Linked DNA regions of Rhinolophus ferrumequinum. Each later gene encodes a partner of the first gene's protein in a complex. Links are inferred from orthologs where the notes say so. Each region holds a gene or a part of one and is shown on either strand. Other genes may lie near its edges.

Region 1 (7,672 bases):
ACCCGCCCAATAAATTTTTATTCAACACATGCATTTTTAAATGTGCACAAGCAATCTTACTAAAGACTGACCGCACCTAAAGTAAATTTAATATTCCAGAAGCAAATCTGAAACCATCCTAAGTAACCCAATAAAACATTGCCGAGAAATATATAAAACAGAAACACATAAACACAATCATGAACATTTTATTCCAAAACAATCAGTATGAAATAATGAAAATCCCTGGAACAAATTAAGAGTTTAAAAACACTGTAGAACTTCTTCAAAATAAGCAAAGAAACAAAACACTTAGAATGGCTATATATCAGAACAAATATGTCAATAGTTGATCAACTGAAAGCAAACAAGTAAAAGAAATCTCCCTTAAAAGACTTTTCTGTTACTGTCAAGGAGAGAGTAAGGAAAGCAAGAGGGAGGGCAGACAATATAGACCTTATTAATGTATATATTTTACTAATTTAGACAAAAGACATTTTCTCAGCTACTTACATTAGTGAAGCTTATGAATGACTAATGCAATTGCAAACTTAAAATTGTATAATCCAAGCTTTCGTACAACAGTACAAAGGTTATAAACATGTATCGGGGACTGGTGAAGTATTATTTAGTGAGCCCAAGCCTCAATGCATTTGCACATGCAATTTTTAAAAATAAATGCTTTACTATCTTCATTCACACAGAATATTGTTTGTAACATGGTGTAGTAGAAAGCTGTATATCAACAGAACTCTACAAATCCCAAATATGTTAAAGCAGACTATACACAAGTTAAAAGAAATAAGACAATTTTGACTTAAGCTTTTGGAAAGTTACATTTTTAAAAGGCCAGTAGTACATCAAAGCACAATTCTAAAATACTGATTCGACTAACAGGTGTTAATTTATAATTATTTTTTTCTCGACTTGATAGTGTCAAAATATATAAGTATTCTCACTTTTTAAAAGTTTAACTTTGGCCACTTTATGGAGTCAAATAAAAGTTTACCAGTTCAAAATCAAACTGAAGAGTTATACATTTGTTGAAGGACATCCTTTCTAAATTAATCCAATATTCCTTCTTTACACACATTTTCCTAACTATTTACTGTAGGCATATATGACATATATGTCAGCTAGCAATACTGCTTATATTCTAAATATACATCAGTCTGAAAAACAGGTGCGACACTACTTAGATCCACGCTTTTTTTCTTCTAAGCCTAAATTTGACCTGGAAAGGATTCAAAAATAAACACAAATACCAAAAAAAGTTGAACAATCCTTTTAAAAAGATTCTGAAATACAAGACATGAACCCTCAAACTACCAATATCTTCCAAAAGTTAGTTAAACCAGCCTCTCCAAGTTTCTCCTTAGGAGGATCAAGTCAGGCTTAATTGTGAAGGGTCCTGAGGATCTTTAACTTTGCTTCCCCTCAGAGTTAGTAACGTGAGACACGTTCGTTTCACTTCCAGCTAACATTAAATCTTTTCTCAGTCGTTTCACAAAGACAACACAGCTAAGTCTAGTTTGGCTTTTTATGGGTAAAAATGGGGGTGGAGGAGGGGGAGGCCTCCTGAAGGGTACCCTAAAACGAAACACTCAGTACAGGCATACCTCGTTTTATTGCGATTTTTCGCATTATTGCGCGTCACAGATGCTGCATTTTTTTTTTTTTTTTTTTACAAATCGAAGGCAAGACCCTGCACAAGCAAAAGATTGCTATTCGCTTTATTGCGGCGGTCTGGGAATAAACCGCAATATCGCCGAGGTATGTCTGGAGAAGGCTTGCTGAGTCAGTCGCTAAAGAACTGACTGGGAATCTAAAGTGATTACGGCAGCATCCCAGGTAAGAAGGTAAAGTTGGAGGTAGGAAATGAAAAAACTTCACAGTTCAGCGGCGAGCCATTGTGCTTGGTAGTAGCCCTGGAAAGAAGCGTGGCTGTCAAGGGGCAAGTGCGTACCAACTCCAGAGGAGGGGGCCAGACGTGCCAAATCGGAAAGAGGGGTGATCCGGGAAAAGGTGGTAAAACGCCCATCCCAGTCCCTCTCCCCGAGTTCTCCATCTCAAGAGGCACAAACAAGAGCAAGCTCGGTGTCCAGCAGCCCCACGCCGAACTATCCCACAGAGAGGAGCTCAGCCCCAAGCCCCGGAGGCCCGGGCAGGCCGCCTCCGAAGGAGCCCCCGCAGACGCCATACTAAAAGCCAAAATGGCTGCCCCTAGGAAGCCCGCACCGCGCAGCTAGTGAGGCTTGGGGAACAAGCTTCTGCGGGAAAGGGGAAGGAGGACTCTAGGAAGCGCCGTGGCCAGGTCCAACGCGCCCCGAGCCACACAGGTAGGTCCCTCTAGTCTTCCCAAGGCCGCGGGTTCCCACTGAGGGAAGTCCCGGCCCCACCCCCCCACCGGGAACCCCGCGGCCGCAGCCGTCCCACACACCGACCCCAGCGAGGTACCTGCAATTCGGCCCGCTCCACCTCCCAGTGCGCCCGCTCCATCTCGAACCGAGCCCACTCGTGCTGGATGTAGTGCAGGATCCCCGGGATAGTGTACTGCTGCGGCCGGGACAGCTCGGGGCCTGCCGCAGGACCCGCTCCTTCGGCAGCCGGAAGACCCCCGCTGCCCGCCGCTCCATTCCCCCCTGGCGAAAGGCTCATATTCCCCCCAGGTCCCTGCTGCTGCCGTGGAGGGGCCGCCATCCCCGGGCCGCCACCACCGCCTCCGGCGAGCTCGTCCATTGTGTGTGGGGCCCCGGCCGGGGCTCAGGGCGAGACGCCGACGGCTGGGGGAAGGGCCGGGGAGGGTGGCCCCGCGCTAGTGGCGGGGCGGAGGCCGGCTGGGAGTGGGGCGGGGAGGGGGTGGTTGCTGTATGCCTGCCGTGGGTCAGAGCAGGGAGCTGCCGGCCGCCGCCATTACAGTCCCTCCTCCATCTGCCCGTCTCACTCACTCACTTTAGGGAAAGGGGGGGACGCGGCGGGAGGCGGGGAGAGAGGGCAGGGTTGGGAAGGGGATAGACGTAGGGCCGTCGCTCCCGCGCAGCATGCCGGGTAGAGAACGCCGCTGCTGCTGCAAGCCTAGTAGCCAAATACAGTCCGGCCTCACCCTACGCAGGCGCACTGAGGACGCCGTCAAGGTTGCCGTTAGAGGCGGGGAAGGAGCTCCGGCCCCGCCCCTAGGCCCGCCCCCCGACTCGCTCCGGGTGTCAAGCGGAGGGTACCGGATAGTGGGCCACTGACTCCAACTTTTGGAAGCGAGTCGGTTTCTGGCTTCCCAGTAATCAGTTTCCCTCGTTCAATCAGCCCCTAGGCGCCGTTCTCCACCCGAGGGTATCAGCGACGTGCCTGCCTTTGGAGCTGGGTTTTAACCTGGCTGATCGCTCTGGCCCGCCACTGCCAGTCCCGGATTCCTGACGTTTCTTTTGCATTCCTAGCGTGTTTCAGGCAGTCCCAGAGGGTCGGACCTCTTTCTCTGCCTGTCACTCGCTCTTTCTCTAGTTCTTAGCTCCGGCTAGTTTCCGGGACTTTAGGGACGTTCTCTTGTGGCAAATAGCCCAGATCCTTCCGGACGTGGTGAATGATTCCCCGTCTCCGTTTCGAGCCCCGGCTTTGGTCCCAATTCTGTCCTCCCGGTCGCCGGTCGCAACTTGTTCCACTTTGCCTCCCCTCTTCTTTATGATTCTGGGTTGGGTTGTGCCTTGGGGATTTGGGAGGAGAGCAGGAGCGATTGTTTTTCTTTTTTTTCTTGAGAGGAGGGGAGGTAATGAAAAAGTTTAGATCTTTAGATGGTGGGTAGGAGAAAGATAACTTTGAAGGAGACTGTTGAGACTAACAATTTGATGTTTTAGAAGTGAATGAACCTTGCGAGTGTTATCATTCATAGCAGAATCTCTTGATGGAAATAAATGAAAGCATTGTGAATACAACTTAGAATCCTAGATGAATGACTAAAGATATTTTCTTGGGTCATTAAATGTCTGAGTGAATGTAATACATAAAAGTCAAGGTTAATCTTTTAAGTACCATGGTGTTTTTATGTGCTTAAGTTGCCAGGAAACATCCTTAATGAACTAGTAAGTTTCTAAAAGTTAATATAGCTAATAACCATTTGGCTGAAAAATAGCACAAAAATAATACTTAACAACATAATAAGGAAAAGAGGTTTAGTAATTACAGCTATGCAGGAAACTTGCATATAAAATGGATTACATTATTTTTTTTTTCTTCTCTACTACAAAGAAAGTTTTCTCTATGGAATATATATGACCAGTCAGGGTATAATTTCAAAGAGATAAAGTAGTACATCTTATTCTGTCATATCTGCTGTACTGTTACAGTTTAATGAAAGGCAAATTGGACTTGTCATCCATGATACGAAATTAGGTGTAAGGTCACAGTATTATCAAGAATTATTTCTCCGTATTATTAAGAACTACTTCTCCCCATTGTTAAAGTACTATTTCAACATTTTGTAGGGACCAACATACAACCTGCTTATTCAGTCCTGTTCCTTTTTGAGGGGCCTCATAGCACATAAAAGTTCAGAAATCCCATGCTACCTCAAAACCTACATACTAGAAACATTTGTGAGAGGATGTGGCATCAACAGAAGCAGACATGCACACTTATATTTCCCACGGGCACCTCAAGCTCAAGTAAAGACTGGATTTATAATCCTTTTTTTCCCTCCGCATTCACCTTCAAAAACAAAAACTGCTCCTCTTCTGTTATCTATCTCATTAAGTGACACTACATTCAAACCTGAGGCCTGGCAGTCATTCTAGTACCTTTAACTCAGCCCCCACATCCAACCTCTTTCATATCTATTCCATTATCTTCATTCAGTGTCTTAGGTTAAGGCTTCCCACCTTTATCCTTCCCCTGTCTCTCATGCCACTGATGTCAGAGTCATCTTCAAAAGGCAAATCTGATCCTGTCATTCCCTACTTAAAATAGTTTAGTGATCACCAAATTTAGAATAACGCTCAAATTTTAACCTAGTGTATAAAGGTCCTTCAAATTCTAGATACTCCCTACCGCCTAATCTACCATCACACCATCATGGCACCCCATTCTCCTTTCCGGCCAAACTGCACTGTTTTTGGTTCCTCAAATGTATAGTAATGTTTCATTCCACAGGACTTTAACACATGCTGTGCCCCATGGCCTTTCCTTACCTTTTTCCTTCAAAACCTAACTCAAGTATTACTTCCTCCAAGCTTTCCAAATCCTTGAATTATTTAGAGACCCCATCCTAATAGTATCACATGCTTAGCTCCTAGTACATATTACACTGTATTCAAATTGTCTATGTACTGGTCAGTGACACTCATCCTGATCACTGTGAAAGCAAGACCTGCACATAACAGGTACTGCAAATCTTTGCTTCACTCATTTATTTTTTTTTAAAGATTTCTTGACTGGCTACTATTTTTCAGATACACTCCTAGTCCCTGATGGTCCATTGTGAACCAAGGACATAATCTCTACTCTCATAGGATTTCCAGTCTAGTTTTAGGCAAATTACTTAGCACCAACCACCATAGCTTTCTTAATATCTGTCCAGATCCGTCTTAAAATCATTTCTTTTAAAATTTCAAGTGTGCTCCCTATTTGAAGAATTCCAGTTTGAACATGTCTACATTCACTTTAACCACGGTTTTATTAATGTCAGTGTAATCCTTCGCCATGTTCTTCCCAGATCATAGTCATTTATCTGCAGGATCCTCTTGTTCACAGCTGTACCTCCAGGGTCTGGGACAGTGAGATCCCAATAAATGTTTGATGAATAACTTAAAATTAGACTAGACTAATATAAATATTTTTCCTTCCCCTCAACCATTTTTTCTTAGTTTTTGCTAACATTATAGCAGTTATCACTTAAGGTTCAATGACCAGAACTGAGTATTAAAACTAAAGAACACCAGTATTTTCTACTCTGTAGAGAGAATTTTTTTAATTATTTTTTTAAATTTTTCAATTATTGTTGACATACAATATTATATTAGTTTCAGATGAGAAAATATTTTTTACATTATTGACGTTGTGCTTTGTGTCTATGACTCCTGAGGACACTCTACAGTGAGCTCCTAGAATCTTGTCTTCTGTAGGTAATGAGCTTCCCCAGGCCATATTATCACCTACAGCTCACCTAACTGGAACTTCCTCCCTAAACTGTGGCTGAGTCATTTCCTCTCTTCAATGTCATCTTTGAAACTTCCTAGTATTTGTTCTGTCCTTTCATCTGTCTGTTCATTCCTCCTCCATGCCCATTGATTCTCTCAGTTTTAATATACTACTGATGATCTTCGTGAATGCTGCTTCTATCTTTAATCAGTTTGGAATTTTAGGGTGGTTTTTTTTTCTTCCTCATTATCTAATCCTAGACACCTGTGTGCTCACTCTATCTGACCAAAAAGGGACTTGTCCTATATCATGTACATGTCCTATATCATGTCCTATATCAAGGTATGTTAAGGAATTCCAGGCTTTTAAATAAGTTCAAAATAGTCAACACTCAAATGTCTTCTTCTCAATTTTATATAGTACCTGATGTGCAAAGTTCTGCCTCTGCCTTTGAGAACTATATAGTGGCCTGTAATCACTCACCTGAATATCCAGTTTTATACCTTGCTGACTTCTAACAAAGAGCTCAAACTGGTTCAGAAACACTAATCTAGTCATCTTTTTGCATCATCTGAAAAAGTTATAACAAGTATTATCTCCATAGGAAGGAGAGAAAGCTGAGATAAGAGTTCTGGGTCACTTCCATAGTTCCCCAGTAGACTAAGAAGTGGTTCCGACTCTTACATCGCTGAGTGTATATGTGTATTTGCAAACAAGAAATAAAGGCTCCCTTCACTATTCTGCCTCCTACTGTCAATGGGCTCAATATTGCTTTCTCTGGTTCCCATATTATATGCACTTTTTCATTTCTGATTTTTTTGTCTGTTAAAATTTGTTTTTTAGTTATAGTTGACATACAATATTATATTAGTTTCAGGTATCCAACATAGTGATTAGACGTTTATATACCTTATGCAGTGATCACCACATCATTTGCACTTTTGAAATCCTTTTTAGGTAGTTTTGAGGTGATTCAGTCACTTGGGGAAATGACGTAGTATTTACATGTATAAATATAGAGAACAAATGAATATAAGAGCCCAGAAAAAGATCTTTGAGAAGAGCTGGCATGTGTTCCAAAACCAAAGAAGCAAACTGTATAATGCAGATGGAACAGAAAAGGAGGAGGCAGCTTTGACCGGCACCATGGTTTGACCTGCCAAATAAGATCAGGTATCTACTTCTCGTTACAGTAGTTGCCTATGGCTAAGAAAATTGTAGAAATACATTGCAGGGTATTTGAACTATTCCAATAATATATTGTGTGGTAAAGAAAAGGAAAAGGATCTTCACAGGTTATAGACAAATAGGCACCAAAACCTTTAGAAAACTCAGCATGCTGTATAAAATTCTAGTTCAAGTCCACTCCTGAATTGTCTCCTGGGTAATATGAGTCAGAAAGCGGTAAGCTGTGATAATATTGTATAATAGCTAACTCATAGAGATGTCAAAATTGAAGGAAATGAAACAAAGGATTGCCTGGAGCTGAGTCCCTCCTGGACATTGGCTTAAAGTGAACAACTAGGTCTATAAACATGAGAACCAAATGACTGGAAAATGTGACTTGAAT
Region 2 (7,631 bases), on another chromosome or scaffold:
GGATGAATTTAGAAACACTGGCAGACAAAGTTGTAGATAAGTCTTTTTGCAGCCCACACTGTCTGAATCAAACTGAGTTCAATCGACAGTTTTGCAAAAGCTAACCAGCACAAAGATATTCTCAGTAGGCCTAAGGTATAGTAATTATTCTGTGAGGTCAACTGACTCTTGTCTATCAAAGTGCAAGATGTCTCAATGCATACATTAAAGAAGTACCGGTTAATGGTTCTAACTCAGTAAGTGGTTATAGGGCTACTTCTTTATGCTGAGCATGATATAAGGTGCTCAGAACCAGCAGGACACAGAAAAAAATTATAGTCTCCAGGAGCTAATAATCTAGCTACTTAAAATACAACAAACTTGAGGGACTTAATTCTGAAAACATCAGAGGTAAGATTGAAAACAGTACAAAAATAACTCCTTACCTTTGTATAATAATTAATCCTGATCCCCAAAGCAGTGTTTAACCTTAGGCATTTGCTTTAAAGGTGCGGGGGTGGGGTGGGGTGGGGTGGCTATTGCTCAGTTTTAGGGTCTGGCTCAATTACCTCTGTTATTAAGGAGCAAAACATCATTTTAGGTTTTTATTTCTTTTCAGTGGTATGTCCAAATAATAGTTAAGTTTAATTAGAAGTAACTGTATGCATGCACAATCTTTTCAGCTTTGCTTCAATAACCTATGATTATTTAAAATCTCATGAATCACTATCAGTCTGACTCCAGTTAAAATGATATAGGAAAGTACTGTATCATTATGGATATAGGCCTTTAGAAATTAATGAGTGGGGTGGAGGGAGGGAAAACCATGGAATTGCTTACAGGCATTTAACAAAACAAAGATCTAATCTCTTTTTTCTCTTGCTAAGGATATCTTTCCCAGTTTTCTTCATAACTATCCCCACTTGTAAACCACCTACCCCACCCCATCCCACCAAAACCTTTTGATCTGATCCTGAACCTAAAGTGCTGCATGCATCAGTGAATCCTCTTGTTAGAGAAATCCATGCTACTCAATAGGCTTAAGAGTCAAAATTTTAAATAAAAAGAAGCCCAAAATATATTTTGTAATTTGAAATTAACCAAATCCTTTGGCTAAAGAACATTAATCCCAAGAGTATCTTCCATTCAAGAGAGAAATTCTGCACTTCCTTGGTTTTTCTTTTTCATCCTGTCATATATTCATTCACTGATAGCCATACACAAATAGTAAAAATCAGGAGAATAAATATGCTTTTAACCTAAGCAGTGCTTTACATAAAATTATAAACTGTCACATAATAAACCTTCTCCACACCAGGAACATACACTCAAGAAGTCTTCAGATTATCTGATTTAATGTGAACATCAATTTAAAATGTGTCATGAGTTCAAGGTAACAAATACTCAAGTATCATATATTGCTAATGATTTTCTCCCTTATAAAAACATGATCTTCTACTGTCAAATGATATAGGAACCTAATCTCTTACATTGACAAAATAAAAAGGATTCAAATCTTGGAAACAAGCACAAACTCATTCATTCCTACTGATACTCTATCTTATCCCATATTCTATCAGAGTAGACCTATAAATAGTTGGGATCAAAACACATCTGAATTTCAAGTTTGATGTTTATTTTCAATCCCATTTATTTATTAACCAATCTCCAACCAAACTCTTTCAAAAAGATCTTTTAATAAAGGCTCTGAAAGAACTTCATTGCCAGTGTTATTATTATTATTATTACAGGGGAGAAATAAGCCAGTGACAGCAAATGTTCAATTTCACAAAATGAATCAACAGCAGAGCCTGAGAGAGAATCTAAGACAGATTCAGTACAATCTACTCAATCACAAATAATAAGGGTAAAGAATCTTTTCCAAGCCTCAGTACACCCTAGCCCCATTTATCCCCCTACAATCATTTTCACAGGGTCCTATCAGCTACATGGATTAAAAGACTCTCCAGTGATGTAGCAAAGATAAAATGGGATCCTTACCATGGCTGCTAAGTTTAGTGGCTACTGTGGCTTTTCTTTCTTCTAAGGTCTCTGCTGCTTCTACTACTTACCTGATCTGCTTGGGGACAATCTAAAAGCCAGTTTTTTCCCCTAAGATCTGTCAGTCTATATATTTCTCCGGTGGTGTGGAAGGGGCTCCAGAGGGGAGGGGTAAATACACTGATAAGTCACTTGGGCTTATCAGTAGTAGCACTCAGTAGGAATGAACTTTAAGCTATGAATAGAATTTCTTCCAGCCATTTATTTTCAAAAACGAATTTTTGTGTACCTTACAGAAATAAAATCCAAAAATCCTAAGTAAATCAGGAAAACGTGAAAACAAGAAACAGAAGGTAATTACTCCATTTTATTGACCCTCATTGAAAAAAATCCAGATTAAAGTACTCAGGCAGACTCTGAAATATACAACTGTCAAAATGAAAGCATTTCAGAGCAAAATGTGCTGCAATATGCTACTATGATTAAAAGCTATGTAATCTGGGGAACCTCTGTAACAAGAAGAAAAAGAACTAGGCAAATTGCTTTTTACATACTTTCTAAAAAGAAAAGGCTGTGATTTTGTCATTGTTACATCAAGGTACATGCGGCTTTCATCTTTACCTCCTATTGAAACATATTTTCATCCATAGGTATTTAATTACAGTCAAAGAAATGAAACATGGTTTAATATCAACCGTAAAGTATTATTTTATACTACTAACTGTGTTTTAAGTCTGAATCCATCATAACACATACTAAGGGTGATCAATTAGTACATTCTCTCTAAACTGAAAAGATCCTAGCACTGCTCTTCTTGTACTTTTGTTTTTTAAAATGTACAAATATTAACAGACACCAATGAGACGCTAAGGAGCACCGATGTACATATAGTACATACACCATATGTTCCTACTGTATAGGCTGAGTCTTGGTCTTTGTTCCAACATCTAGAGCCACTGGAAAGAAAGCTAAGTATCCATTTATTAAAACACATTTTTACATTATTGCTGGCAAAAGTTATACTTTTGATAGGTTCAGTCATGTTGATTATTCCTGCCTGGATTTGCTTCTTTAACACAGATCTCTTTCAATTCTAGGAACCTGCCGTACAACCACCCTAGAAAACAGGTCGGTAGCATGATAATCTGATTAAACAACATAAAGCGTAGGTAGACATTGAAGAATGCAAAGTTATTTTTTTAGGGAGAGTTCTGAAGTCATTCTGTTCCATGACATTCTTTTTTTTCCTGCCAGCTACGCACCTATCCTGATAGCATCCTTGTTCTCAATTAGCAGGGTTTTTCCTTCAATCCCAGAACAGTTTTCATGGTACAACTCATACCAAAAACACTAACCACGCCCTTTATACCCAAGTCAAGCACCTTTTCCTTTTTCCCCCTTCAAAGTCTAAAACTGTACATTTTACCTAAAAGGGTTTGCACCAGTTCTCTAACGCGAGTCAGACTCTTTTAAGCTGTGCCTTGATATAATTCCTACTGGAAGACGCTTTCTCTCGGGCAGTGTGCGGACGCCAGAAGAGGCACCCGCGCTTACCTCCCACACACCTGCAACCCCTGGCGGGATGCGGGAGCTGATGCTCCGAGGATTGCGCTCCGCTCCGCTCCTCCTGCTCTCTTCTCTCCCGGGAAACTACAGTCCGGGCTGCGCCTTCAGCTGCTACAGGGACCCAAGCTCCGCCTCCCCCTCCTCTAGTTGGTGAATTCGGCAGCTGTTGCTCCTCCCCCTGCTGGAGGCGGTGGGAAGCTGCTACCCCGGTTATCTTCCCGCTCCCTGCACTTTTGCAGCTGTTCTGCCACTTCCCTTTCCCTGGGGAACCCTCTCTCGTTCCCTGGCCTCACACCTGGAGCTGCCTCCCGCCCCGCCCTGGCGCCTTCGAGAGAAGCCCAGGCTCAATCTAGCCCTCCTCGACCCGCAGGTCTGGTCGCCTGGTGTGCCTGGGGCTCGGAAGGTTTCGGGGAAGCAGCTCCTCCCGCCCGGGCGCATCCCCACACCGCGCCCTCTCTCCACCCCGGCGATTCCCCCGGTGCTCCCTCTCCGTCCGCGCAGCGTCCACAGATCAGCCTTTCCAAGTTCCCTACTTAGAACTCCCCCCCACACTTGACCCCCTTCCTTCCTCTGGTCCGCTAGACCGCCCCCACAAAGGGTGAGTTGCCGCGGGGCCGACCATGCACTCTGATTGGCGCAGGTGAGAGTTGACCCCTCCCTTCCTCCTCTTTCCGTGCATCCTCTCTCTTCATTTCACCTCCTCCCGCAGAGGCAGGGAACTCTCTTACTATTGGCTAAAAGTGTCCCCACCCATCGCCTTTGGCTCCACCGTACTGTCTGCCGGGAATTGTAGTCTTGTATGTGCAGCAATTGCCGAAGACGTCAGTGAGTGAGACTACGAGTCCCCATAGGTCCCTGCGCGACTCCGGCTGGGCAGGATTCCGGACAACGCCTGGTTCCTCTCGGGTCCTTCCGGCGTCGCCGGAGTGAATTGATCCGGGAGTTGAAGAGGGCTCCAGGGTGGGAAGTGAAGTGAGTGCCTCAGTTACCGGTAAGGTGTGGCTGTTCTGTCCAAGTCTCTGTAGCCCCGGGCGGAGCAGAAGAGGTTTGGGCTTACTCCGGGGCCCTGACTGAGGCGCTGGGGCTTGGTTCTGGCAGGCGGAGCCGACGGGGCTGGGAACGGGGCCCTATGGGCGTAAGCGAGGTTACCCTACGCGAGTGGCGTAAAACGGGTTTGTAAATGCCGCCTGCCCTGCTCGGGCCTGAACGCCTCCAGGAAGTCTCCTCTAGGTGGGGGCGGGAGGGGAAGGGCGAGGTTGGCCTCTTGTAGCCCCGGAGACGGGAGAAGGCGGATGTGTCTGGGGTGGGGTCCTCTAAAGGTGTGGCTTGGGAGGGGAGGTGAGACTGCTGTTTCCCCCCTCTTTAGAAGTAGGGTGGGGAAGGAGTGGGGAAAGGAGAGGGCGTTGGGAGTCTTCTCTTAGAGTGACTCAGGTTATACCCTCTGAGGAAAGAGGAGAACTGTAAAAAAGAGTCAAATGTTGACAGAGACCTACAGATTCAGTTCCATTTTCATGATGTGGCCCCTCTAAGGAGGTAATTTTGCCCTAAGCAGAAAACCTTACCCCTCTTAGATGTAAATTGTTAAGCTACGTTTGTACACCTTTACTGTTTTCAAAGAGCATTCACTTTGGGATGCTGATGGGGAAACGGAGGGGATAAATGAGGTGCCCAAGGTCACACACGTAGAGACAGATCTTCTGATTCCAATCCAGTTGTAGCCCAGACTGAATCATAGTTGCTGCACCAGAAAGAAAGAGTTGATTATGTTTTTTGAAGAGGGTGGAGGAAGTTGCAAAGTAATGCATTTTATGTAATTCTAAGAGTGCGTTTGTAAGGTGAAGACTTTTTGAACTGGGGAGAAATTCCTGAATAAAAGAAGGACACACACTAAACTTTTGGAAAAATAAGGAATAAAGAATCGACTTCAACTTACATATTTTTTCTTTTGTTACGGGTATATTAAATGATGGACTGTACTACCACTTTAAATAGTAGATAATGATATAGGAGAATGTCAGTTAAACAGTATATCCCATCCTTACAGTTAGAAGATAGTCTTTTCCTAACTTAGGAATGTTTTTACTCATTTTATAAAACTAACAACAGTGGGATTGGAATTCTTTCACAAAACTTATTTTGCACTTTTTTCAAATAATGCAGCATTGAGAGACTTTAGTGTACGTACGCTTTACTAGAAAAAAAGATAAGTTGCATTTTTTGCAGGTAAGATCACATTTTGTTGATTTTTATTTACGTTTCCCCTTCTTTCTTGGTTCTGGGATGTTTGTGTGTGTAAATAGCAATAGGCTTTTACATATTTTTCTTAGTGTCATCTGTTATTTTTAACACATCATTGTACATTAAAGAATGAAAAAATAGGACATTTTGTTTTATATTGTGCAGAAAGCGTACTTGTTTCAGTCCTATCCTATATAATGGTTACTATGACCAATTATAGCTCCTGAATATTATTGGATAGTTCTTTAATATAATTTTGGAGTATATTCATTGACATGAGGATTTCTTCATAGTAAGTTTATAAATAAGAATTAGGTATCTACAGATAGCCGGTAATCAATCATGGCTTACTGTTATATAAGTTGACCCTTGAAATACACTGCAATTTGTATGTATTCTGCATTTATTACTTTCTGAGTGCACAGTTTCTAGAATCAGAGATTTTAACATTTCCCAATGACTGAAGTTAAGATGGTCTGGACATTAATATGACCTTTAAAATAGAAGGGAGGTATGGTACTATAGAATGAAGTAAAATCAGGCATAATATGGTACCATGAATAATGGTACCAGACAGCAAGGAAGAGCAACTAAACAAATGGAAAATTATCGGGGGATAATTGGCTTTGTGCTATATTAAAATGGTGAGATAGTTTTGACCATAAACATTAGACAGTGACAGTAAAGCAAGAATGTCAATGTATTTTCTAGATGGTAGAGTAGGCATTTGCTTTTTATTGGGGGAAGTGTGAAATGAGTTCTAACTTTTCACATGCAGGTAAGAGGTTGTGGAATGAGCTTTTGAACTAAAAATTGGGAAGATTTGGAAATAAGTGCAATTAATATAATGCACTTGTTCAGAATGTGTAAGTGTTTATCCTTGGTTCAGTTCTATCACTAACTTCTCTTTTCGGAGTTCCATTATAGTTATACTATTTCACCTACGTTGCAGTGGTGGAATAATGTTTCTATTGTATTTATCATCTTTCAGTCACATGCAGGGGTGCTGTGGTCATTTTGGATATCTGCACTTTGAATAATTTAGAGTTCACAGAATTATGTGTACACTTGTATTTTTATAGTAGTTTGAAGTTTACCAATGTCTACATTCTCATTTTGGGTTTTGTAGGAGCCTTGTGTCAGCCTTTGGACATCATCTCTTACGGGACTTAGGATGTCTCCCATATACATCTATCTCTTTCTCTTTAAGGATATAAGGTCATAAAAACAGGACTGTATTAATGTATTCCCAGTAGGTACAACAGTGAGTACCTGCTCACAAAGAGAATGTAGAGGTTCAGAGTGGTTAAGTGCAAGGTCATGTAACTGGTCACAGGTGATGAAGGTATAATCTACGTCGTCTTATTGCAAAGCTTGAATATTGTAGACTTAGTTCCCTTAGATTGTTTATTTTATAAGAAAAAAGATTTAAAATGACTTCAATACTCAAATACTATTATCCTCTTACTCTTTGTACTGACAATTTATCTTTTGACTCCTATCCAGCTCTCCATCCTTATTCCCAGCCTTTTTCATTTACTGTGCCTTTTAGTTACTGTATACATAAATTTCTTCCTGACTTGGAAGTTTTTGTACATGTTCTATTGCCCATGTCTGGACTGCTTCCCCTCCCCTTCCCAATTCTGGCCAACTCCTAGTTAATTTTCAAGTCTCAGTTTAAATGTCATTCATCAGGGAACTTTTGCTGACCTCTTTGACCTATCCTTCCTAAAATTAGAGTAAGTTCCCTTGATATTTTCACCACACTCTGTATTCTCCTTTGTAGCATCATCACAATAGGGACTGTTTCTGTATTTATTTGATAAATGTCTGTCTCCCTCATTAGA
Region 3 (7,908 bases), on another chromosome or scaffold:
AGAGACCAACTCCAAATGAAAGAGGAGCCCCACTAGGCTTCTAGATTAGGTTGCCATTGTTGCTGCCCATGGTGAGGTATTTGCCTCTGCGTTTTGGATGACTTCTTTCTTTCTGGGAACCCTGTATCATCAACCATTAAGAACAAGGAGGCCCAGGCTTCCTGAGTATTTGGGTTCTACCTTAGTATTGGCATTTGATCATTATTTCCTCTAACCCTTGGAATCAGAACAAATATGTCTTCTTCTCTCAAGCTCTCACCTTAGATGCATCCTAGGTATCTGGAAGCATGGGAAATAAGTCCAATTATCTCTTTGTGGCCCTGGCTTTACCATTTTCCCTATGATGAATTTGTGCTAGTTTTCAAGGTCTTTTTGTGCCTTTCTAATGGAACCATTGTTTTCTTTTTCTCATTATTAAAAAAAAAAGTTATCTGCTCTACCTTCCTTTTGCCCTCCTACCTCTTCATTCTTCCCTCCCATGTGAGCAAGGCTCCCCATGGCCACATACTCCTGCAAAGCTTTTTTGCTGCTTGTCTTTTCTCTGAACAGATCTGAAATTGCTGCTCCCGTGGATTTTTTTTTCAAAATTAACTTTGTCATGGTTTTAAAAAAGAAATCAAAATGCATTGTTGCATTAAGCTTTTTTTAATAAAGGAAAATTATGGAAAGAAAATAGGCAACACCAGCAAATTATATGTGGACAAGTTCTAAACTATATATACATACATATATACATATATATACTATATAAAATAATCATCTAGTTCTCATTGTCATCTTACTGAAAGGAAATAAAACCTCTTAAGGATCACCATTTCTGAGAGGCTCTTGGAAATCGTTATGTCTAAGTGATTGTATTAGATCAGCAATAATGACGATGTAATCTCAAAAGATAAATAAAATATTCTTAAAATGCATCCCTGTCTTGAGAGTATTCCTTGCTTCTGTGAACTAGGAATTCAGAGATGAGAAAGGTTTCAGAGCAACAGGCTAGAGAGGCGACTGTAGGGCAAGGATGTGAAAAGTTGCAGGAGTTACCAATAGACATGTTTGGCCTCAGCCTTGTAAGAGTCCCTTATTTCACGAATAAATATCACCGTGACCCCCAGTTATGTGTATACAGAACCTGCTTTCTCAGCACTACCACCCCGGGGAGTTGAGAAATATGGGCTTACGGCAGAGAAACTAAAGCCTGTTTCTAGGTTCCCCAAGCCCTCTCATGGAGAGGTATTGCCCTTTGCTAGAGAGTACAGAAGAAGCTAGCATCCCACCGTTTGGGACCAAACAACTCTGCCACCCAGGACCTGACAACATCCAACCAAAAGGAAGAAAGACCTGAATCTAGCAGAGATTTGTCTCTAAGTCAGGTTTTGCCCGACTAACTCGGTAACCAGAGCATGAATCCAACTGCCTGTTCTTTCTCAACTACCAGTAGAGTAGCCATTTTCAAGTAGCTTACTGACAGCCAGTTACTTTAGTTGACATCTTGAACTAGTTCTACAACCTGTTTCCAAGATGTTTTCTTATTGCCCCCACCCATGTCCTTGATGAGGAAAGGAGGGTGTTCTATCCTTTTTCTGCTTTATTCTGGCTGCCCGATATCCTAAAAAACTAGATATTTGAAGACTTCCTTCATCTTATTTTTAAGCTTTCTCAGTGCCAGGAGTTACCTATTTAATCACATATCTGACCGTGGATTAGAGTGGAGTGATTATATGGGGAAAGGGGTATGTTTGGTTCGATTTATACCTTCAGCCCTCTGCCAGCAGCCTCAGGAAATCTTGAGTTTTGGGATAAGGGAAAGTGGTAGTGTAGGTTTAAAAATAACTCAGCACTGGAGCCATCTCTGCAAGATGGAAAAACTTGTAGACCAGCCCTAATTAGCTCCCAGGTATATTTATGGGTATCTCTGTGGTCAGTGGTACTGCTAACTGTCACTTCTTTGTTGACAAATAAGCGAAAAGAAATTGAGTGTGTGCCAACTCCATGGCCTGTAGTTTCAAAGTTTTCAGTTAATCTGTGCTTTCTTGTCACTTCTTCCAAGAATTGTTTCCGGATATCTTCCTCCTTTATGACAACGTCGGCCTCCTCTGAACATTGGCCTACAATGATCAGATAGATGTCTGATCTTTACTGTCTCCCATTCCACTGGGTGTAGAAAAAATAATGGTTGAGGTCTCTCATGTTGATTCTTTGCAATCTCCTTAGCACCAATTTTTCAAATCCCGTCTCTGAAAGTAGAGCCAGATGGAGCTCTAGGCTCAGCAAACAGTTGTACATAGTTTTACTTCGCTGAAACTGCTAGTGCAGGACCTGAGAGCTGTCCTTAATCCTATTCCCAACTGAAGATCACTCAGCTCCCTTTGCCCCAGGGGTAGGCTGGAAAAGGAGCAAAGCCTCAAAAATAACCACTCCTGTTCGCCACCACTGTTGGGGATCCTGCTGATTGACTAGGCTCACAAAAGGGAACATGAAGTTCTGGGTCTGTCACTCCTAGAACTCTGGCTGCTTAGGAGGGGAGATTGGGAAGAGGGTAGGTAGAATAATTCTTTTATTAAGAAACCACAATGGGCTGTGCTGGGGCAGGTTCACCACACTGAAGCAGTGATGAGCTAGGTGTAGGTTGTGAATTTTAAAGCAGAGTATGAATCTTTAATAAGAGTTTAACAAATTATACCCTGAAAACATTCCAAAATCAAATAGTTTAGGCCTTGAGCCAGGGACTTTCTTGGAAATTCTTATCAATTCAATTCTGTTAAACCAGTGGGTCTCAATCCCTGGGGACATTTTGCAATATCTGGAGACATTTTTGATTGTCACACTAGGGGAAGGGTACTATTGGTAACTAGTGAGGAGAGGCCAGGGATTCTGTTAAACCTCCCACAATGCAAGGCACAACCCCCCACAACCAATAATTTTTCAGTTAATAGTATAGAAACCCTGTGTTAAACATACATAAATGAGGCATTCGAAAATGAACAAAACTTGGCCCTACTCTCAAGGAGCTTAGATCCAGGTTGGGCTAAGAGAGGTAGGAAAGCCAAAATGCTGGGAGGGTACAGTAAAGAGATGTGGAAGACCCAGGAGAGAAAGAAACTCAGAAAGCTCCAAGGAGTGCCTGCTCTCTCAACTCTGCCTTGATCTGTCACTGACTAGCAGAGGAAAGTGTGAGGGAGAGACACGGTTAAGAAAGGGACAGAGTTGTACCTAAGACATAACAAGGGGGAGTCATTCCTTTTGGCTCCTTACTTTGGGAATGTCATAGGAAATACAAGGATTTTGGATCCAGGCAGACTTGGCTTGACACCAACACAGCCTGAGTGGGTTGAAGAGGGTCAAAAGGAAGGCTTTCTGGAGGAGGAGGTGATGACTAAATAGAATTTTAAAGAAGAATAGAAGTCAGTCAAGATTAGAACAGAAAGTTTCTTCCAGAGGGAGAAAATAGGGCATGTGGAAGACACTGAGACAAGACGGAACATGATACCTTGAGAACTGCAAGGAGTACCTCCCGGTTTCCTCATCAGCAACAACGATTCTTCCGCAACCTAGGGGCGAGAGGTGTGATATACCTAGAAAGTGCCTGGTGCAATGCCTGGAACAAAGTGGCAGTTCAATCCCCGCAGGTCCCAGGATTCCCCTCAGGCTACTTGTTTAGGGTTACTGTTACCAACCTAGACAGCCTAAACATTTACTGCTTTTTAGATAAATTCTGAGTGGGCAGGTCACACAGCCTCGTTCGCCCCAGGTAACACTGAGCCCTTAAGAAGGATCTTAGAAGAATGAAGAAAAGGACTGAGGAGCAGGTGGGGACGGGGGCGTGCTCTCCATTCAACATCTATTCCCTAGCTCACACCATGAGGAAGGTGCCCACTTCCGCAGAAAAAAGCAGATGACCGGGAGCAGCCTTGAAAGGCACTAGCAGTTTCAGCGAAGTAAAACGTCCCCACCTTCCCCCTCAACCCCTAGTCTCCCAACCAAACTTCACTCCTGAGGGATGAGTTCTCTACAGAAATCTCCGCTTTCTGTGAGGGCGAGTCCCTCCTTTCCTCAGGTGTCCCTGGCCCCCCGGCAGTGCCATCCCTCCCCTGCGACGGAAGCAGGATTCGGGACACTTGCAGGAGCCGGGATTCGAGGGCAGAGGTCTGTGGTAATGGGGAAACGGTGACTGCAGTGGAGCAGGAGGGAGAGACAGAGCTCCCCACAAAAGGTCTAGTCTTTATTTGGGAGGGGTTGAATGCTGAGGGACACCGAGTGAAAAGCAGAGGCCCAGAATTCGGAAGGTGGAGCTGGGAGCCAACTCGGGAGTCTACTGCTACCAGCAACGCCGCAGGACTGAAAAAAAAAAAAGACCAGGAAAAAAAATCCCTTGAATGAGCCCCCACCTCCTCCAAGTCTCGCTCCGAGTGGTCGAACAGCCAATCGTGCCGCGGGGCGGGGCTGCGGGAGGCGACTGCAGCCAATAACCGTGGAGGGGGCGGGGCTTAGCTGGCGGCGCGGGGCGGCAGGGTCGCCCCGGGCAGAGAGCGCTGAGCAGCTGAAGGGAGCCGCTGACCAGAGTGGCATGGAGGACCCTGCGGCATCGGGGGCCGGGAGTCAGCCCGCCAATGGCAACGGCAACGGCAACGGCGGCGGCAAAGGGAAGCAGGCGGCGCCTAAGGGCCGAGAAGCATTCAGAAGCCAGCGGCGGGAGTCGGAGGTGAGGAGCCCGGAGAGCTTAAACAGGGGCCGGGAGGCGCCGGCAGGCGGGAAGCGGTGGCTGAGGTGATTTGGCCCCGTCTCCCTCCCCGCCTGGACCCCCGGGCGCGCCCCGGGTTGCCCCTGGGAGCGGGCGCCTGCGGAGTCCGCCGTCTGGACTCTGGGCTGTGCAGCCCCTGACCGCTCTGCACCCGTCTCCTGCGGCGGGTCTGGGGCTTTCTAGCCTTCTGGCCTCCGCTCCGGGGGCGCAAGCTATAGCTCCACAGCGAGCGTACCAGATACTTGTCAAATATTTATCCCACTAGTCGCTGCAGCTCCTTGAAGTGGGAATTGGTATCTTCGATTTCCCGAGGAGGAAACCAGCGCGGGGAGATTGACTGACTGGCCTGAGGGGTGGGAGGCCGGAGCTCCGCCGCAGTGAAGAGGGGCGTGCGTGGGGGGCAGCCGCTCTCCCACCCTAAGGCTCCCCCAGCCGATCCAGCTGTGCCGCGCGCCTTCTGCCCTCCCCGCTCCCTCCTACCCCGTCCCCCAGGGCTGGCAGGCGCTTTAGGGAGCCCCTTCCACCGACATCAGGACCCCCACCTGCAAGGGTTAATGAGATAGGATCAGGCGGGGGCAGGACTGGAGCGAGTGGATGGAAGTGTCCCAGGAAGCAAACCCACAGATAGGAGTATGAGTGTTCGGGTGGCTTCCTCTTCTGAAAAGAAATCCTAACCAGGAGGATGAAAGGAGCGGATTATCATCACTCCTCCACCCCCTCATCCAGCCAGTCTCCATCAGCTCGTCCAGAGTAGAACTGGATCTGACGGGGGACCAGGAAAATAGACCACAAAAATGTAAGGTGTCTTGAAGATCAGCTGGGTTTAACCCTGTCTTTTCCAGAAGTAAAAGAGACCGAAGTGACTGGCCCAAGACCGTACATCTGGCATAGTGGCCAGGAGCACCAAGCTTTGGAGTCAGCCCACCAGGTTTTGAATCCCAGCCCTACCATTTACTCTCTGGATGGCATTTGGCAAATTGCCAAACCTCTAGAAGCTCCAGTTTCTTCATCTGTAAAATGAGGTTAACATTATCTGCCTCAGGAGGTTGTGATAAAGTCTAAGAGAGATAATTGAATGTAAAATGTTTAATTCGGCGCAGGCACAGTGCAGGTAATGGGTCAGTGCAGAGTAGCTCTTAGGACTTCCTGTATCGTCATCACCATCATCAAGGGGCAGAGCTGGTACTAGAGGCCAGGTCTTCGGCTTCCCAGTCCAGGGTTTACCATTTGAATAGTATTTCACAGTTTCCAAAGGGATTTCATGTGTGCTTTCCATTTTGATACAGACGAGTAGGAATCCACACCATTTTTAAAAAGAGAAGTGGAGGAGGTGAAAAGACTGGCTCCAAATCATACCACCTTTCAGAGGCATAACTCAGCCCTCCTTCCTGCTAGATCAGGCAGGGGACCAGCTGGCCTTTTAGGGGACCCTGTGCCTCCTTCCCCCCTAGAGACATTGTTCTTGCTCAGATGTTTTATTGGGAGGATGAGTCATTCATTAATTCAGCAATTATTGAGACTTTCTATACGCACAGCACTGTTTTAGGTGCTAGGGATACAATGATGAACAAGATAAGGTCTTTGACCTGTGGAGCTAATGTTCTAGTGGGGGGTGGAGAGAGAGGCAATACGCAAGTAAATAAAATAATTTCAGAATGAGATGTTCTATGGGGGAATTAAAACTCCTCTTGAGGTCGGAGGCCTTGTGCCTACCTATCAAGTCTGCCTTCAGGAAAAGGCACCTACGTACTTGACCTTGCCAGTGAGGTCAGTATCTGGAGACTCAGAGCTTTCCACCTGCATCGCAGTTTACCTCCTGATTGTCTGCAGCTGCACTTTTCATGCTTGGAAATGAACAACTGCAGTGATCCTCTCTCTCTGGGCTCAGTGCCTGCTGAAAGGTTGGCTGGAAAGATTAGCTTTCCTCCACCTTGCTCTGCAGCAGGAGAGCTGCTTCTACCTGTCAGTGCATCCCCTGTTACCACAATACTCAGGTGCCAGGCTCAGATGCCTATCTGCTTTTCCTTCCCGCCCTCCTTTTGCTTTCCTGGGGAAAGATCGTCCTCAGGGGAGATGGTTTTCTTTCCTCTCTAGGGCTTCTAGAGAATTACTGTTGGCACCAGTCAAGAGAGGCTCCTTGGACAGCACTCTTGACCTATTCTCTCCCAATGCCTTAGTGTATGAACTTCCAAGCTAAAAATGAAGCTACAGAATAATTGTTTGCTTAATAAACAGATCCTTAACCTACTAAGTTCACCTCAGGCCTCTACCAGCCAGATTCCCTGGTTTAATTGGTTCCCAAAGTCCTTGACAAAGTTTGTGGCAAAATGAGGAAAATTCAGGGCATTAAAGTGAGTTTTTCATAAAATATAGTTCAGTACATTAAATGTAAAGGATGTATGCAATTTAAAACAGTGTTTTTCTTTTTTTATTAAATTTATTGGGTGACAACGGTTAGTAAAATTACATAGGTTTCAAGTGTACATTTCTATAATACACATTGTGTGCTCACTCAGAGAACAGTGTTTTTCAAACTGTAGCGGGTAACCTGTGAGTTGAGACCGTTTTTTTAAGAAATAGAATAATAGAAAACATCAGTGCATCACATACAGTAATGGTAAATATATTTTGTTTAACTTTGTTTGTGTGTGTGTGTGTGTGTGTGTGTGTGTGTGTGTGTGTATTGGGACATGATGTGAAATTTATTTATACTGTGATTTACAGTCAAAAAAGGTTTGAAGAACACTGCTTTTTAATGATTCTTTTATTCTGATAGTGTGTCCTTCCCATTTTGGGGGTATTAAACTGTTCTTTCTTTTTTGAAATATATTTTTTAAAAGATTTTTTGAGTCTGTACTTACCAGAATAAAACATCCACAACCTTATGTCATTCCCCCCCTCCACCTTTTTTTCTTACTGGTCTCTGTAATGCAAAAGTTTGAAAATTCTTGCTATCGTGGATTTAAACATGATTTGCCTTATAGGCAATGTAAATTGATAAAGTGGTTTTAAAAAACAACTTGTCATGTACAAAAAGCCATATAAATATTCATAGGGTTTGATGCATTACCTTCCTTTATAAGAATCTATCCTCAGGAAAGATCCTAAATATGAAAAAAAATTTAATCTTATTACAGCTTCATGCATATAGTAAAGAAAAATCAAAAACTAAA
Region 4 (7,644 bases), on another chromosome or scaffold:
AACCCACAACCAAGTGTATTTAAATCTTTTAGAAAATAGGGATGTCAATTTAAATATTATTACCAGGGCATTAAGTTAAGTAAGACAACCAATCAGAATTACAGACTTTGTAGATATTAAAGTTTACTTTTATAGGCTACAGCAACAATATCTAAAGTCAGAGTGCCTCTTAATTAGAATTAACATTCACATGGAAAATTTTATAATACAAACTAATATCTGCTTTTCTGACATGCTAGAAGACTAAACATTTCTCCCTATCTTGTTGAGATTTCTTTCACCATAATTATGAGGGTCTGTGGTTTTTCAAGGCTGAGTCCTAGAAAGCCATTAGTTAGCAGCAACAGGAAAAAATAGGTCTGAGAGTTCAAAACTCACCATGTAGAAAGAAAAAGGAGCAAAATAGGGTATTTAATAAATGCAATATGGGACATATATGTGTGGACAATCACTGAAAGAAGCCATGGGGGTACAAGGGGTCAGGTAAAGTCGAATATCTCTGCCCTTGTCTCTGTTGTGGACCATTGAAACCACCATCTGCTCCCAGAGCCCTGTGTTCTCATACCTCTGAGCAGAGTTTCTCAGGTTCAGGGAAAGGAGTAAGTCTGTTACCTGTCTGTGTGGTGTGGCTACAGCAATGGGCATGGTACTAGAAGAGGTATTTCTAGAAAAATGTCCAAGTGTCTCCCTCCCTAGAGTTCATGTAAGTGTGTAGGAGTCACATTTGGCATTTGGATCATCGGAGGATCACTGGGCTAAGGTGTATACTCTGAGAGAGGCACAAGTAGAACTGCTGATAGGGCCATCTGAGAGCTGAGAATAAAGGGAGGGAGACCCAAAATCACTTCCTGACCCAAAAGAGTAAGAGTGAAATAATAAAGAGGAAATGGAACCGAGAAACAGGAGCCAGACAGAAATTAGGTCAGAATGGAAATAAGTCAGAACAAGCAAAAGAGGTCTTGGGCAGTTTGTGTAATACCCATAAACAGCACTAGAAGTGCCTGAGCTTATCTTATTGGTTTATTGATGGGTGGGATGCAGAAGTATTGGGATGGCTTGAAAGTTACAGGTCCCTTCAATTTCATGTTTCCCCATCTCGAATCCATATTTATATCTATCCTTTTTATTTTCTTTCGAATTAAGGAGAATGAAATGTTTCTTATTCTATTCAAATCCAGATTCTTCAGCCCACCATCCTAATAAATAATCAACAAAGGTCTATTAAATAGCTATTGTGTCCCTTCTCTTCCCTCAAATGTCCCCTACTCTCTTGTATCTGTTTCTTTTTTTTATATAAGATTTTATTGGGGAAGGGGAATAGGACTTTTATTGGGGAACAGTGTGTACTTCCAGGACTTTTTTCCAACACAAGTTTGTTGTCCTTTCAATCTTAGTTGTGGAGGGCGCAGCTCAGCTCCAGGTCCAGTTGCCATTGCTAGTTGCAGGGGGCGCAGCCCACCATCCCTTGCGGGAATCAAGGAATCGAACTGGCAACCTTGTGAGAGGACGCGCTCCAACCAACTGAGCCATCTGGGAGCTCAGGGGCAGCTCAGCTCAAGGTGCCATGTTCAATCTTAATTGCAGGGGGCTCTGCCCACCATCCCTTGCGGGACTCAAGGAATTGAACTGGCAACCTTGTGGTTGAGAGCCCACTGGCCCATGTGGGAATCGAACTAGCAGCCTTCGGAGTTAGAAGCACGGAGCTCTAACCGCCTGAGCCACCGGGCCGGCCCTTGTATCTCTTTCTTGATTGGATCCTTCCTCTATAAAGCCTATAAGCATGCTCAAGACTTGTTCATAAAAACAAAATAAAAAACATAAACAAGAACCCTCTCTTATTTCTGTATCCCCTTTTAACCACTACTAGAATCATTGGATTGGTCAAGGGTTAGAGTTAACTGCTTGCATTTGGCTTAAAAAGAGAGGTGCAAAGAAATTAGGGATGTTAGAAAGACAATGGTTCTGACCGCCAATCATAAGAGCCCAGTCTGGTCAGGGAAAGAAAATTAGACCACAAGAAAAGAGTCTGAAATATATGGTGATGGAAGGAGAACTGACTCTAGGTGGTGAACACACAATGGGATTTATAGATGATGCAATACAGAATTGTACACCTGAAATCTATGCAACTTTACTAACAATTGTCACCCCAATAAACTTTAATTAAAAAAGAAAGAAAAGAGTCTGATAGGTAGGGGGAATATTGATATATTCAGAAATCGGAGAGCTGGATGATGTCAGAGATAGTAGTGGAATAAAGGGTTGCAAGAACTAGACAGGTTGAAACAAAGGCTGTGGTCAAAGAATTAGATGGTAAAGCTTAACATTTCTGATGAGGAACAATTTTTGGTAAATGATCAAGGGTTTGGCCATAGGTAACCGAAAAAAAAAATTGAATGTCTCTAGAACTGAGGGGGCTGAGGAAGGATAGAACATTAGATGAATTGTCCCCATGGACATGAATGTCATCCAAGGTGAGAACCACACATGGATTAATCAAAAAGACTATAAGCCAACTCCTGAAATCTTCTATGAATGAAGGGGAATATTCAAGGTAGAAGGTTAATCATTGGTAGTCAGAAGGAGAGATAGAAGATTCTTCAGCTGGATGATACAAACTTTAAATAATGTGGAGGTTTTACATCGCAAGTAAGAGTAATTGTTTATCAGTGTCACTGGGGAATTAGTATGACCCGTCTTGCTCTGTCTTAATGTGGGTGGTACATAGAAAGATAATTGCCTGCCACTGAAAGGGCAGCAAGGGGTTGTGCTAGAGCTGTGGAGATGACTTGAGGTAGGGAGAAGACCAGCTGGAAGACTGTGGCTTCATCTGGGTGAGTAGCAGTGAAAATACAAAGAAGGAAATATCTCCCAAAGATATAAAAGAGATAGGTTGCTTTGGTAACTGATTAGTGTAAAGAATTCGTAGGAAGAGTAAGGGATGACTTCCAGGATTCTGTTTTGAGCAAATAGGTGTATAAATGTGCTCTTTACTGAAACAGGAGAAGGAACAGGTTTAGAAGCAAAGATAATGCTGTATTTCCAGACACTAAACAGTTCCTGAAAAGAAGGCTCTCCAAAAATATTTACTAAAGTAATGAATGAAAAAGAACAAAGTTTGACGTACAAGCTTGACAAGGTAAACTCATAAACCATTATAACAAGCAGCACAAAAGTCATTGCTCTTCTGGTTAAATTTATCCTCAAGTTATTAATTGAATTAAAATAGAAGATATAGGCAAACAGAAAACAATGACTCCATCTCACACCCATTAAGATGACTATCAAATAACAACAACAACAACAACAAAAAAAAAACTCAGAAAATAGTGTGGAGGAAAAACCGAAAATAGCAAGGATGTAGAGAAATTGGAACCACTAAGCACTGTTGGTGAAAATGTCAAATGGTGCAGCCACTGTGGAAAACATTATGGTCATTCCTCAAAATTTTTAAAATAAGAATTATCATATGACCCAACAATTCCACTTCAGTGTACACACCCAAAAGAATTGAAAGCAGGGACTCAAACAGATATTTGTACGCCCATGTTCGTAACAGCATTATTCACAGTAGCCAAAATGTGGAAGCAACCCAAATATCTATCAATGGATGAATAAACAAAATGTGAGATAGATAGATATATTCAGCCCTAAAAAGATAGGAAATTTTTTTGTGACATGGATGGATGAACCTTGAGGACATTATGCTAAGTGAAATAAGCCAGTCACAAAATGACAAATGTGATTTGTATGTTTCCACTTACATGAGGTACCCAAAGTAGTCACATTCATAGAGACAGAAAGTAGAATAGAGGTTGCCAGGGGTTGAGAGGAGGGCCAAATAGGGAGTTAATGTTTAATGGCTACAGAGTTCCAGTTTTGCAAGATGAAAAGATTTCTGGAGAAAAATAGATGGTGGTGATAGTGGCACATGGTGAATACAGTTAATACTGTCGAGCTGTACATTTAAAAAATGGTTAAGATGATAAATTTTAGGTGTATTTGACCACGATTTTTCAAAAACTAAATGGGGGGAAAAAAGATGACTTAATAAGAATCCACATCTATCAAAAACCAATAGGGAAAGTAGAAACTGGGACCGCCCAGCTAAAACTCCACCACCAGGCTGTGGGAACAGGAAACCAAGGGCGTGGCGAGGGCAGGCCTCAGGCTCTGCCAAGGGCGGGGCCCAGGGAAGCCACTGAGGAAAGGGTCCTTGGAGGAGTAGGATGCCACCGCGCAGGCGCATCTCACGGCTGCCCCGGCGCCTTTTAAGCGTACCCGGAAGTGACGTTATTGCCGCTGAGACAGGTGGGGGAGGAGCCGAGCGGTTCGCTTAGGGGAGCAGCGCTGGAGCTGTGGTCCCGCGGCCGCTATGAGCTGCACCATCGAGAAGATCCTGACAGACGCTAAGACGCTGCTGGAGAGGCTGCGGGAGCACGATGCGGCCGCCGAGTCGCTGGTGGATCAGTCGGCGGCGCTGCACCGGCGGGTAGCGGCTATGCGGGAGGCGGGCACAGCGCTTCCGGACCAGGTCAGGCAGAGGGTAGGGACGGGTCCGTGTTCTCAGGTTCTGGGCACTTGACAGGTGGAAGGCGAGGTCGAGTGGGAACTTGGCCTGGAATGTCTTCTGTCTGGTCTCAGAGGGCGGCGGTGAGAGCTTCCTGCGGGGTCGGGGATGAGAATGCTGCGCCGGAGCCCTGACTCCTGCCTCTTAGGTTCCTGCATCTGCGGCTGTTCTGTTGACGGCGCGCTTCGTCTGTCTCTGTTTGTCCAGTATCAAGAGGATGCATCCGATATAAAGGACATGTCCAAATACAAACCTCACATTCTGCTGTCCCAAGAGAATACACAGATTAGAGACTTGCAGCAGGAAAACAGAGGTTAGTCAGTCCTTTTTGTGGAGTTACTATGATTTTGTTATATCCGGTAATAATTCAAAAGTTCTTGCAAACCTGCCGACCTGTTCACAAACGTGCACACGCTGTATGTACTTCCAGGTCACTACTTTTAATAAGAGCGTTACCCTGTGCTGGCCCGGTAACAATAAAGTTTGTTACATTACTCTTTTCAAGGTTGTCCGACTCATTTTATTTGTAGGCAGCTTATCAAAGAGGTGCTTAGCAGAGTTGAATTGTTGCGTGGCTTTATTTAGGCCTCCCCAGTTGGAGGCTTGCACAACAAAAGAATTAATATCCTCAAGGGATTAAAATTCAATGTTTAAATATTAATTGAAATAAGTACTAAAATTAAGATCGAAGGTATTTTTAATGTTCTTGTGCAAGGTGGGAGAGCTGAATTTTTTACTTTAGGGAATGTATTCTTGGTCTGGATGAGTACGTTATTAATGACTGTGAATAGTCATTTGTATACTCGTTTACAGAGGGTTTCCACATAGGTCATCCCATTGTATTCTTGTATCTTCATTTTGAGTTCAAACAAGCTGGTATTATTACAATGCAGATAAGAAATAGGTTCAAAGAGGTTAAGTGATTTGCTTAAGAGCATTAAGCTAGTAACTCACAGAACTGAACTCAAGCCCATGCCTTCTGATTCTGTATCCCATGTTTCTACCAAACTATGCTGCCTCTGCCTAGAAAGTTTTGTTTCACATAGACCTTAACTGTTGAGTTTTGTGGAGCTGAACACTGATTTACAACTTTGGAGTAACAACAGCTCATGGAGTGCCATACAATTCCAACTGGTAAGAATTTGGCTTGGCTTTGAGAGCTATCTTTCAGGCATCACTGCCAAGTTATTTCATTTTTTGATATAGAGCTATGGGTTTCCTTGGAGGAACACCAGGATGCTTTGGAACTCATCATGAGCAAGTACCGGAAACAGATGTTACAATTAATGGTTGCTAAAAAAGCTGTGGATGCTGAACCAGTCCTGAAAGCTCACCAGTCTCACTCTGCTGTAAGTCACTTTGAGGAGTAAATTCTCAGTGAACTGAAAATTGAAATCTTGGAATTGTTTTCGATTGTGTGCTTGCTTCTGAAGAAAAGTTAGTGTGTTTTCCTTTCGTGTTTATTAGATTCGCTGTTGATTTTGCTATAGCTGTGTCAAGATATGAATAGAAAGAAGGAGGTGAGGGGCTGCTCAAGTCCTTTTATTTGAGTAGGACCAAGGTTCCTCCTTCCCTCACCAAGATCTCTTTCCAAGATGTTGATGAATGCTTAGTTCTTCCACCAAACATAATGCCAGTTAGTGTTGAAGGTGCTGAGTAAATACTTGATGGGTTATTACTGCACATTTCACTACACTGTAAACTCCTTGGCTGTAAGAAGTATGAATTCATCTTTTATCCCTAACATAGTACCTGGCACATAGCAGGCAGTCAGTAAACCTTTATTAAACTGAGCTACCGAGCACACTCTTGTTAAGAGAGAGAAGTATGGTTTAAAAATACATACATGGTATAGTTTCTACACTTTGGTTGTTCATAACTTAATTTGGGAGACCCAGTAATTGTTCTTCTGTCTGTAGAGTGCTTCATAGTTGTCATTGTGTATTCACATGTACTAAATCATTTAATCCTGGCTTAATAGAATGGTGCCTCACTATTTGCTACAGTGGAATTTATGAAAAGTTTTCTTAGGTTCTACTGAAAACATTTTACTGACTTAACAAAAGTCTTAGGGAACAGGGATGTTTTAAATATGTTTATGGCTTTCATCTAGAAGAGAAAAATAAACTTTATTTTCTTTAGACTAGAGGAGAAAACTTGAACCTTGAAGGACACAGAATTTAGCTCATGAAAGACTTTCTAAGAGATAAGTACATAGACAGAATAAGGTACCTTAGAATATGCAGAGCTTGCCAATATTCTAATTTAAGTTAAACAGCCAGTTAAGAGATATTGTCCAACATCCAGTGGGTGGTTAGACTAGAATTGATCTTTTGAAAACAAATTATTTGTGAATACCACAAGATAACTTGATCATGGCTTCACCTCTGAGGACTCAGTGAAACTCCTGTGTAACCTGTAGCATAATTCAATGAACTTTTTAACATCGTATTGCACATGTTCTCATGAACTTCCTATCTGTAGGAAAGATGACTTTTTCACCTTTTTTTGTGTTAATATCTTCCCAGGAAATTGAGAGTCAGATTGACAGAATCTGTGAAATGGGAGAAGTGATGAGGAAAGCAGTTCAGGTGGATGATGACCAATTTTGTAAGATTCAGGAAAAACTAGCCCAATTAGAGGTAAGATTATTGCTGTTTTGAATTCACAATATTTCATGGAGTTTTCATAGAGCCTGGAAGGTATACCATTACTATCTTATCATTGCAATGTATTGATGTTTTCTGTGTGCTCATGATTTAAAATTAAAACTCCTCCTCCATACCCTTTTCAAAAAAGGAAATATAATCAGTGGCAAACAATGAAAATGCCAACTATGTATTGGCTAGAAATTGAAATATTATCAGATCAAGAGGGTAGAGAGAATGGAAGGGACAGATTACATGTGAACTAAAATCCCTCATCTGCCATAAAAGGAAATTCACTAGATAATGTCTAAAATTGATGATCAGGAAATAGCAGTTACAAGGATATTATTTAAAATTATAGAAGTAAATACCAAAGAAATAGATAAAAGTATTAAAAGTGGTTACCTTTGGTGAACAAAGCAAGGA

Evidence for each region.
Region 2: STRN3 (region 1) and PDCD10 share a complex: the UniProt entries of both Homo sapiens proteins name them as parts of the core of STRIPAK complex. The link is inferred for Rhinolophus ferrumequinum from reciprocal best matches to the Homo sapiens genes STRN3 and PDCD10.
Region 3: STRN3 (region 1) and STRIP2 share a complex: the UniProt entries of both Homo sapiens proteins name them as parts of the core of STRIPAK complex. The link is inferred for Rhinolophus ferrumequinum from reciprocal best matches to the Homo sapiens genes STRN3 and STRIP2.
Region 4: the proteins of STRN3 (region 1) and SIKE1 are in contact, whole or in part, in a crystal structure (PDB 6AKL), measured with the Homo sapiens proteins. The link is inferred for Rhinolophus ferrumequinum from reciprocal best matches to the Homo sapiens genes STRN3 and SIKE1. Residues at the interface, in NP_001077362.1 of Homo sapiens: Arg176, Leu179, Tyr182, Leu183, Val186, Tyr188; in NP_079349.2 of Homo sapiens: Glu96, His97, Ala100, Leu103, Ile104, Ser106, Lys107.

The regions. Positions count from the first base shown.
Region 1 is NC_046289.1:80,004,163-80,011,834, forward strand, and holds the start of STRN3 (striatin-3), read right to left. Parts: upstream 3,021-7,672; 5' UTR 2,719-3,020; coding exon 2,437-2,718; intron 2,319-2,436; exon of another isoform or gene 2,006-2,318; intron 1-2,005. UniProt on the Homo sapiens protein: Calmodulin-binding scaffolding protein which is the center of the striatin-interacting phosphatase and kinase (STRIPAK) complexes.
Region 2 is NC_046285.1:74,137,502-74,145,132, forward strand, and holds the start of PDCD10 (programmed cell death protein 10), read left to right. Parts: upstream 1-4,385; 5' UTR 4,386-4,537; intron 4,538-7,631. UniProt on the Homo sapiens protein: Promotes cell proliferation. Modulates apoptotic pathways. Increases mitogen-activated protein kinase activity and STK26 activity. Important for cell migration, and for normal structure and assembly of the Golgi complex.
Region 3 is NC_046309.1:16,878,908-16,886,815, reverse strand, and holds the start of STRIP2 (striatin-interacting protein 2), read left to right. Parts: upstream 1-4,523; 5' UTR 4,524-4,561; coding exon 4,562-4,696; intron 4,697-7,908. UniProt on the Homo sapiens protein: Plays a role in the regulation of cell morphology and cytoskeletal organization. Required in the control of cell shape. Calmodulin-binding scaffolding protein which is the center of the striatin-interacting phosphatase and kinase (STRIPAK) complexes.
Region 4 is NC_046305.1:45,449,221-45,456,864, reverse strand, and holds the start of SIKE1 (suppressor of IKBKE 1), read left to right. Parts: upstream 1-4,312; 5' UTR 4,313-4,375; coding exon 4,376-4,534; intron 4,535-4,777; coding exon 4,778-4,883; intron 4,884-5,776; coding exon 5,777-5,919; intron 5,920-7,098; coding exon 7,099-7,212; intron 7,213-7,644.